3 linked regions of the Macaca fascicularis genome follow. Each later gene encodes a partner of the first gene's protein in a complex. Links are inferred from orthologs where the notes say so. Each region holds a gene or a part of one and is shown in the gene's direction. Other genes may lie near its edges.

Evidence for each region. Proteins that work in one complex are often made in the same cells at the same time.
Region 2: SGF29 (region 1) and YEATS2 share a complex: the UniProt entries of both Homo sapiens proteins name them as parts of the ADA2A-containing complex. The link is inferred for Macaca fascicularis from reciprocal best matches to the Homo sapiens genes SGF29 and YEATS2.
Region 3: SGF29 (region 1) and MBIP share a complex: the UniProt entries of both Homo sapiens proteins name them as parts of the ADA2A-containing complex. The link is inferred for Macaca fascicularis from reciprocal best matches to the Homo sapiens genes SGF29 and MBIP.

Annotation. Positions count from the first base shown.
Region 1 is NC_088394.1:27,843,904-27,847,425, forward strand, and holds part of SGF29 (SAGA-associated factor 29), read left to right. Parts: intron 1-2,211; coding exon 2,212-2,287; intron 2,288-2,947; coding exon 2,948-3,020; intron 3,021-3,522. UniProt on the Homo sapiens protein: Chromatin reader component of some histone acetyltransferase (HAT) SAGA-type complexes like the TFTC-HAT, ATAC or STAGA complexes.
Region 2 is NC_088376.1:95,674,061-95,677,582, forward strand, and holds part of YEATS2 (YEATS domain-containing protein 2), read left to right. Parts: coding exon 1-200; intron 201-2,410; coding exon 2,411-2,572; intron 2,573-3,522. UniProt on the Homo sapiens protein: Chromatin reader component of the ATAC complex, a complex with histone acetyltransferase activity on histones H3 and H4. YEATS2 specifically recognizes and binds histone H3 crotonylated at 'Lys-27' (H3K27cr).
Region 3 is NC_088381.1:104,133,845-104,136,835, reverse strand, and holds the end of MBIP (MAP3K12-binding inhibitory protein 1), read left to right. Parts: intron 1-247; coding exon 248-286; intron 287-380; exon of another isoform or gene 381-551; intron 552-1,864; coding exon 1,865-1,972; 3' UTR 1,973-2,488; downstream 2,489-2,991. UniProt on the Homo sapiens protein: Inhibits the MAP3K12 activity to induce the activation of the JNK/SAPK pathway. Component of the ATAC complex, a complex with histone acetyltransferase activity on histones H3 and H4.

The DNA of each region.
Region 1 (3,522 bases):
CGACAAGAGTGAAACTCCATCTCAAAAAAATAAATAAATAAAGGAAAAAAAAAGATACTGGCAGATTTCGCATTCCATTCAGTCATCCACAGACCAGTTTATCATCATCCCATACAACCAGGGTGTCCCTCAGACAGCTGCCGCCGAGTTCCCAGACTCCCATCTCACCCATCAGCTTCCAAAAGCAGGTGTGGTCCTGACAGACACAGGGCTTCGCCCTTTCAGGCACCCGGTGTAACTGACCTCTCTCTGAGCCTCTCTTAAGGTATGAATACAATGGATTTCCCTCATCGCATAACCCATTTAATTTGTTCTGTTAACTCGGCTACTATTTCTCCTCTCCATTTGTGATTGGTTTTCACCCAAACTTTTCCACCTTTGGAAGGGATGTTAGCTTTGGCCACTGTACCTGGTCCAGATTGCAGTGGCAGCAGTCTAGCACGTGTCCCCGCTGACCCCAATCCATTCCCATTTGTATGGGGTGGGGCCACACAGGTATAGACTATCGGCCTTCTGGAGCACTAGGCAGCTATGTTCACTGTTAACCTCATTTTGCAGATTGTGGTGAAGGCACAACCCACCCATCAGGCACTTAAAAATTCTCACACGAAGGCTAAAAAGCATAGTCATAATTTCTTGCTTAGGAACCATGTCATCTTCAGTTTCCAGCATCTTCAGTCACAGCTCTGCTCCCAGGACCACTGATATGGGAGGAATTGCACCAGTGTTCTTCCCCACTCCTTCTTCCCCACATCAGTTGATCCTACCTGTATGTGTCAATTTCTGGACTCCGGATTCTGTTCTGTTGATCTATATGCCAGTACCACACCATCGTGATTACCATAGCTTCATAGTAAATTTTGAAATTGGGAAATGTGAGTTCTCCAACTTTTTTTTTTTTTTTTCCCCAAGATTGGGGATAATCTGGGTCCCATGAATTTCCATATGAATGTTTGGATGAACTTGTCAATTTCTGCAAAGAAGTCAGCTAGAATTTTGATGGGGATTGCATTGACTGTATAGATTGATTTTGTCTCTTTGATAAAGGACTATTGTTAAAGATATCACTTATGATTTAACTTTAATGCCCTCTTTTTTAAAAAAAAAAAAAACAGAGTCTCACTCTGTCATCCAGGCTGGAGTGCAGTGACACAATCTCAGCTCACTGCAACCTCCACCTCCCAGATTCAAGCAATTCTCCCACCTCCACCTCCCACATTCAAGCAATTCTCCCACCTCAACCTCCAGAGTAGCTGGGACTATACGCACATGCTACAATGCCCGGCTAATTTTTGTATTTTTAGTAGACGCGGGATTTCACCATGTTGGCCAGGCTGGTCTTGAACTCCTGACTTCAAGTGATTTGCCCACCTTGGCCTCCCAAAGTGCTGGGATTACAGGCTTGAGCCACTGCACCAGGCCCTTTAATGTCTTTTGTAATGCTTTTGCATTAGTCAAAGGAGAAAATCATCTTGAACTCCTGAATTTGGATTTAGAAAATCAGGTCCATGGCTGGGCACCCTTGCCTGTAATCCCAGCACTTTGGGAAACCGAGGCAGGTGGATCACGAGGTCAGGAGTTCAAGACCAGCCTGGCCAAGATGGTGAAACCCTGTCTCTACTAAAAATACAAAAAATTAGGCCAGGTGCGGTGTCTCATGTCTGTAATCCTAGCACTTTGGGAGGCAAGGTGGGCAGATCACGAGGTCAGGAGATCGAGACCATCCTGGCTAACATGGTGAAACCTCTCTCTACTAAAAATACAAAAAATTAGCCAGGCATTGTGGCGGGCGCCTGTAGTCCCAGCTACTCAGGAGGCTGAGGTAGGAGAATGGCGTGAACCCGGGGGGCAGAGCTTGCAGTGAGCCGAGATTGTGCCACTGCACTCCAGCCTGGGCGACAGAGCGAGACTCCGTCTCAAAAAAAAAAAAAAAAAAGTTAGCCAGGTGTGGTGCTGCGTGCCTGTAATCCCAGCTACTCGGGAGGCTGAGGCAGAGAATTGCTTGAACCTGGGAGCCAGAGGTTGCAGTGAGCCGAGATCACGCCACTGCACTCCAGCCTAGGCAACAGAGCAAGACTCCATCTCAAAAAAAAAAAAAAAAAAAAAGAAAATGAGGGCTATGTTTTGGGGATGGGGACTCTGGCCTGGCTCGCAGGGTGCCACAGCAGCACAAAGGGCCACCGTCATGTCCTGCCGCTCTTTTCCTTACAGGAAGAGCGTTCGCGGAGCGAACACAACTTAGTGAACATCCAGAAGACCCATGAACGGATGCAGACAGAGAACAAGAGTGAGTACCTGGGCTCAGGAGAGAAAGGGGATGAGATGGGGCTGGGGTGGGTATGGCCAGGACTGGGACCGAGGTGGTCATTGTATTCAAAATAGATGTGCATGTATCTGCATATTCCAAAATGCAGCAGGGGGGACAGCTTTCCGTTAATCTGGGTGACCTGAAGAGCTAAAATCCCTCCACTCGGAGGATTCGAAAGGCACTGAAATGAGGCTGTATCTAGGGAACCTTGCCCTGAGAACACAGAAGCACCCCAGTTAGCTGGTGTTTTCTAGAAAGGAGCTTTGTTCCCAGGCGGCCCCTGCATATGCCCTGAGGCCCTCAGGTGGTCAGATTCTGGGGCTGGAGCTTTCTTACTCTGGGTAACTCTGAGAATTGTGTTTTCCTGGGTCCTGACAAATCATCTTCTGTGCGTGTCATGATGGGGAAAAGGTAAGACAGTCCTCTCGCAGATGTAGGGATGGCATTTGTACCATATAGAAATGTGGATTCATGGAGCCTGGGGGTATCCGTCTGGGGAGCACTCCTGAGCCAGCAGAGCTCTGACTGAAGCTACGGCCTCTCTGTGCCTCCACGAGTGTGATTCCAGTGCATGGAAGCAGTGCCATGCTACTGTGCCTGCCCTGGCCCTGCATCCTAATCCCTATGTTTCCTCTGCAGTTTCTCCCTATTACCGGACAAAGCTGCGTGGCCTTTACACAACCGCCAAGGCCGATGCAGAGGCTGAGTGCAAGTGAGTACTGTGCTCCCACTCCCCCGCCGCTCCCTCCTTGCCTCAGGGCTAGGCTGCAGGCACATTTGGACCAAGTCCCCAGCCTGCCTTCCTCCCATGGATAAGCTGATTGCTACTCCCGGCCTCTCCCTTGGGTCCGGCATTTCCTGTCCCACTGCTAGGCCCACTCTTCCAGTTACCTCTGCTGCTAACGCCTTTACAGAAGGCAGCAAGGCGTGAATCAACACTGCCATTTACTGGTTCTGTGACCTTGGCAGAGTCATTAAAATAGGGATATCAGGGGCTGGGTAGCTCAGATCTATAATCAAAGCATTACAGAGGTGATTGGGAGGCCGAGGTTAGAGGATAACTTGAACCCAGGTGTTTGAGACCAGCCTGGGCAACAAAGTGAGACTTCGTCTCTACAAAAAAATGTTTTAATTAGCTGAGCGTGGTGGCATGTGTCTGTAAGCTTGGCTGGGAAGTCATGCTCACATGACCTAAAGGTTTTATGGTTCTAAGA
Region 2 (3,522 bases), on another chromosome or scaffold:
TTATTCTTTGCCATCTTCATTGGAAAGAACACCCACCAAAATGACAACATCCCAGAAAGTTACCTTTTGTTCTCATGGCAATTCAGCTTTCCAGCCAATAGCATCAAGCTGCAAAATTGTGCCACAAAGTCAGGTTCCTAATCCTGAGTCACCTGGAAAGTCCTTCCAGCCCATCACCATGAGCTGCAAGATTGTGTCAGGTATGCAGATGTGTGGAAGACAGTGTATGTGGAGTTGACTGGATGTTAAAATTGTTGGAACAACAAAACAAAATACTGTGGCTTTTTTTCTCTCAAGTTTTTCTAAGCAGTGTTTCTTTAACAAAAGGAAGTCTATCGCTGTTGATTGCAAAACTGTCACAAGGCAAAAACAAAGCTCATTCATATGGAAATGAATGGAGGAAATAAATGAAACTGAAATGGTCAAATTTTTGTCTCCTAGAATCACCAGAGGTAAAATGTTTGCTAGCAAATATGGCTGAACTACAGTGTAGGAATCGTGTTTGGGGATTATATACATGGAAACCACAGTGACTAGTAATAGAAAAAGTTTAGAAGCCTTTGGCGTGGAGTTAAGCTTTAAGGGTTAGAATTGGGTGGGAATTGAAATGCTTTATTCTCTCTGTAACCACATTAGAAAATTACTCATTCCTATTGTCAGTAGGTAGTTCCGAGTTGTCTTTTTCACTAAGGTTGGATTATCCTTTGTCTTGTGACAGTTTCACATATGTTAAGTAAAATTTAGTAGGAATACATACTTTATGGTTTTGACTGTTCCACCTTAGAACAAAACATATTTGTTAAAAGGCAATTGAAAATATCCAGGAAGTGTGAGGACTTCTGTACAATACTTAAATGAAGGGGGGAAAAGGGAATGTTTGGTGTTATAAGTAGACAGCTAAGCAGAAATATGATCCAAATCTTTGAAATTGATGAGAGATAAATAGCTTCTAATTGGTAGGCAATTTTTTTTGTTTTTGTTTTTGTTTTGAGATGGAGTTTCACTCTTGTCACCCAGGCTGGAGTGCAATGGCACAATCTTGGCTCACTGCAACCTCCGCCTCTCGGGTTCAAGCGATTCCCCTACCTCAGCCTCCTGAGTTGCTGGGACTACAGGCACACACCACCACTCCCGGCTAATTTTGTATTTTTAGTAGAGATGGGGTTTCACCATATTGGCCAGGCTGGTCTTGAATTCCTGACCTCAGTGGATCCACCCACCTCGGCCTCCCAAAGTGCTGGGATTACAGGTGGGAGCCACCGCTCCCTGCCATTGGTAGGCAATTTTACCTACCAGGTAGGAAAATTTTGGAATTTACTACTTCAGAGGTAGAATAGGCCAAACATATAAATTGATTTGAAGTTTAGAGAAGTTCATGGATGGTAAGTTTGATCAATAAAAGACAGTAGAGGATGTTTAAGTGTCAGTAACTTTTGAGAGTATTTTGCGAGAACACAAATCTTTCTGGATTATGACTGTGACATAGTATTGACAGAGACTTTTGCTCTGGGTAGGTGAATTTCATATTTTCCTATTCAAAACAAGACACAAGTTTCTTAAATCTAGCTATTTACTTACTAATGTCCTTCCTTCCTCCCTCCCTCCCTCCCTTCCCTCCCTTCCTTCCTTCCCTCCCTCCCTTTTCTCTTTCTTTCCTCTTTCTTTCTTGTTGCCCACGCTGGAGGGCAATGGTGTGATTTCGCCTCACTGTAACCTCCGCCACCCGGGTTCAAGGGATTCTCCTGCCTCAACCTCCCGAGTAGCTGGGATTACTGGCATGCGCTACCACACACAGCTAATTTTGTATTTTTAGTAGAGACAGTGTTTCTCCATGTTAGTCAAGCTGGTCTTGGACTCACAGCCTCAGGTGATCCACCCACCGCGGCCTCCCAAAGTGCTGGGATTACTGGCATGAGCCACTGCGCCTGGCACTTACTAATTTTCTCCCTAATTTTAGTGTCTTCAGGTATAACCAGTACTATAACAGCCTGCCTGTGGTGTTAAAAGATTTATCATATCAAGATTCAGCAGTTAAAAAAAAGATTCAGCAGTTTTGCATTGCTGTGTAAAGCACTGCTTTCTCAACTGTAATGTGCATACCAGGAGATCTTGTTGAAGTGCAGATTTATGTTCAGTTGGTCAAGGATGGGACCATAAAATCTGTTTCTTACAGTTTCCTCAGTGATGCTGATGCTGTTGGTCCAAGGATAAGGATGCAGAGCATGAAGCATACATCCTCTGCCTCCCCTATACCCCTGTTGCTGCTCAGTACTGGGAGCATGCAGTTCCATTTTATTTTCCCAATGTGTTACCTTTGTCCTGGTGGCACTGACCTTCTTCCTTGTCCTCGACATCTTACATGAGTTGAATATGTGTATTTTGTTTCTGTTCTCCCTTTTTAATTAATAAGGTTCCCCAATATCAACTCCAAGCCCATCACCATTGCCTCGAACCCCGACTTCCACTCCAGTTCACGTGAAGCAAGGCACTGCCGGCTCTGTTATTAATAATCCTTATGTTATCATGGACAAGCAGTCGGGGCAGATGATCGGAGCCAGCACTCCCAGTACAGGTGTGTATGTGATCAATATTTGTACAATCCAAAGGGTTTGATCTTTTTATTTTATTTTACTTTTTTTTGAGACGGAGTCTCGCTCTGTCGCCCAGGCTGGAGTGCAGTGGCCGGATCTCAGCTCACTGCAAGCTCTGCCTCCTGGATTTACGCCATTCTCCTGCCTCAGCCTCCCGAGTAGCTGGGACTACAGGCGCCTTCCACCTCACCCGGCTAGTTTTTTGTATTTTTTAGTAGAGACGGGGTTTCACCGTGTTAGCCAGGATGGTCTCGATCTCCTGACCTTGTGATCCGCCCGTGTCAGCCTCCCAAAGTGCTGGGATTACAGGCTTGAGCCACCGCGCCCGGCCTGATCTTTTATTAAAAATGTAATCCTGCCGTTACTTGATAGCCATGTAATTGGAGAATGAAATCTCCTGTAAACGAGAAGCGAGAATACATAAAAGGAAAGCCAATACTGTTCCTCTGAGGGGAGATTTACTCTGTAAAAGGTGCATTTTTTAGAATTTACTTGAGTTTTCTTTTAATTTCTAAAAATTCAAAATAAGCCGTAATTAATGTTCTTAAAAGAACAGTTGATTTTGTTTTCATTTGGAAGACTTACTTTTTGGGGGACTGTAAGCAATGTGGTTACTACCTCTTCCAAAGAAGCTTTTGCTAACATTGTGGGCCACATACATTTCTCCCCAGTCAAATAAAAAAGTGATACTATTTTCTTCAGAGAAGACCCATTCTGGTTGTGGGAGGAGAAATTGAAACCTTCAATTTTAAAGAGAACTCTAATAGGAAGAAGTCATCTTTGGATTCACCGTGTTCCTCATTATAATCCCATGCAGCTGTATCACGCTTTTTAGGTTTTTTTGAAATGCTTTCCCTAACATTATTTTATTTATTCCCTTCAGTTAGCCTATATTTATTATTAATTAATTTATTTATTTATTGAGACAGAC
Region 3 (2,991 bases), on another chromosome or scaffold:
GTATTGCCAAAGATAAGCATGTTGCTGCAGTATTATTATTATATATTGTTAATGTCATCCTCTTTAGAGGGTAACTTGCAGAATATAAGGTGGATGTTGGTTACAGACAATAATTGGTATTGGTAAATTGGTTGGCTTTCTTTCTGTCAGAGTTCCCAAGGCTGTACGTAATTTGTACGGTATTTCATAAAGAAAAAAATAATGCTTAGATTTTTTTAAACGTTGATTACTTTTTTTTAAAATCTAGAGCTTTTCTGGAAAAAGAAGAAAAGTTCAACCACCTCAAGTAAGTTACTGCATTTTCATTTTGGTTTCTGAAATAGTTTGATTAGTTTTATACCTTTCTTATTAATAAAAGTTTCTACTATGGTTGCTTTTAGGTCATACCCTGGTACAATTTACGACTGAAGAAAAGGGCAGTATAAACTAATATACTTGAATAGAAAAATTCTTTTAAGGGCATGGAATGACTCAGATAGGTTAAATAAATAAAACCTTTGTCCTGCTTTTAGTAGTACAAGGATGTGTCATTCATCAAGTGCTTAAAAATAGTAAGTGCTCAAGTAATTTCAGTCTCCCCCCATCCCTTCCTTTTGTGAACACTTCTGATTAGTAGCATCTACATCAAAAAGGGTGTTTGGCAGAGTTTGACTTCAGCTGGCCCTGTCTAAAGTGCTACTTTACTAATTAGTTGAACCTTAAATAATAAGGCTTTGCTAGACTTTAATAGTGGTAATGTGAATTTAAAGTTGGAGAAGACTTTCTAATTTTTAAGAGTAGCATTTTTTTTCTTAAAAAATTCCGAGTAAATTTTTTGATAGCAATTATTTTTTCCAGAAGTAAATTATTGTAGTTGATCCCTCAAGAGAGAATTTCTAGGTATTTTAAGCAGTTATTTTTAAAGTTAACTTTTTTTACTATTGATTATGAGAATAATCAGGTTTTTAAAAGTTACTCTTATGTAGTAAACTGTAACACTTTGTTGCTGCTTTAAAAATACAATTCACATAACATAAAATTCATAATTTTAAAGTGGCTATTAGTATGTTCACTATGTTGTACAACCATCACCACTAAGTCTAGAACATTTCCATCACCGCCCCAACCCTGTACCTATTAGCACTCAGTCCCAATTTCCCTTTCTCTTTACCCCCTAATAGTCACCACATAATACTTGTGTCTAAATTAGAAATATTAATGCAAGTGAGGGTGTTCACATAGATAGACTTGAACAAATCCAATTTTTATTGGAAAGCAAAAGGAGTGTTTTCTTCACTGTTTTCCACTTCAGGTTAACTTTAGTAATCAACATAGAAAGTTTTCTATTAAAAGGGATAGCTGATATCTCAAATGATTTTTTTCTCCTGGTAGTAGTATAATTAGCATTTTTCTTCTTCTTTCCAACTTTTACTTAAGCTCAAGGGGTTTTCAGGTTTGTTACATGGGTAAATTGCATGTCACGGAGGTTTGGTGTACAGATAATTTTGTCACCCAGGTAATCAGCATAATACCCGATAGGCAATATTTCAGTCCTCTCCCTCCTCCCATCTTCAAATAGGCTCCAGTGTCTAATAATCAGGCTTTTTTTTTTTTTTTGTAAACTTATTCTTTCAAAGTATAAAAGGTTCAGGAGAGCTTAATCATTAGAAAAGAGAAATATTTAAGCCTTGTTATTTTATGCTTTTAAATTTATGATATAGTCAACATATATAGTTGTGCAGGTTTAAGATTATTCTCATGAGGGAAAAAAACCCATTTGATCATGCTTTTAAATATTTTAAATATTTATAGTTCATTTGGCACTTTATCTGCATTAAGATACTTCAGAATCTTATTCAGCAATTTGTGTCGTTATTGTTTACAGCAGAACTATTCACTGGCTGAACTTGATGAGAAAATTAGTGCCCTCAAACAAGCCCTCCTCAGAAAATCAAGAGAAGCAGAATCCATGGCAACCCACCACCTTCCATGAAAAACTCCTCTCCATCCTTGTCATTTTACTTTTTTGTATACATATGTGTAACTTACACTGTTATTAATTCAACGGATATATATTTATCAATGTAGACTTCTCTGTGAAGTCAAGGTTTATTTTCACGAGTCCAGCTTGCAGCAAGTAATCTTCAGATATTCCAGTAAGTTTTTAAATAATGAATGTGTTGAAAATAGCATTGTTGGAATTTATTCCCTTCTGTTTTAAAGGAGGTATTTTGGAAATTGAAAAACTTAATTTAAAAGTGCTGGTACATCTTTTTTCTTTTGTGGACCACAGAAAGGAAAATTTATTTTGATATTGATACTTTAAAAGGACTTTATATTTGTAACATTGGTGTTAACCAGTTTATTAGTTTAAATCAGTACTTTGCATATAATAGGCATTCAACAAAAATTTATTGACTGAAATGAATTTTAAATGGATGTATGAACTTGTTTTTCTTAATTTCTAAGATGTCAGTATTCATGTAAATAAACAATAGATCCAGCTTTATCCCTTTATTGACTGTGTGACTTTGAACAACTTACTTAATCTGTCTTTGTCCTCATTTCCCAGTCTGTGAAATGGGAATGACAGTAATAGAAACTACCTTACTGTTATGAAGAAGAGGTGAGATCATGTATGTTTGAAACTGTCTGTCTCAAGGGAATTGCTCAGTAAATGTTAGCTAATATTATAAAACCAGGTCTGGTTTTGGACAGCAATTAGGATGTTACAAAGAAATTATAGTACCTCTCTTTTGAGAGCCTCACCTTTACAATACCCCAGTTATTAGGCAGTACATACATTATTGTGTCCAGAATTGGTGGGTTCTTGGTCTCACTGACTTCCAGAATGAAGCCGCAGACCCTTGTGGTGAGTGTTACAGTTCTTAAAGATGGTGTGTCCGGAGTTTGTTCCTTCAGACGTTCAGCTGTGTCTGGAGCTTCTTCCTTCTGGTGGGCTCATGGTCTCACTGTCAGGAGTGAAGCTGCAGACCTTCGTGGTGAGTGTTA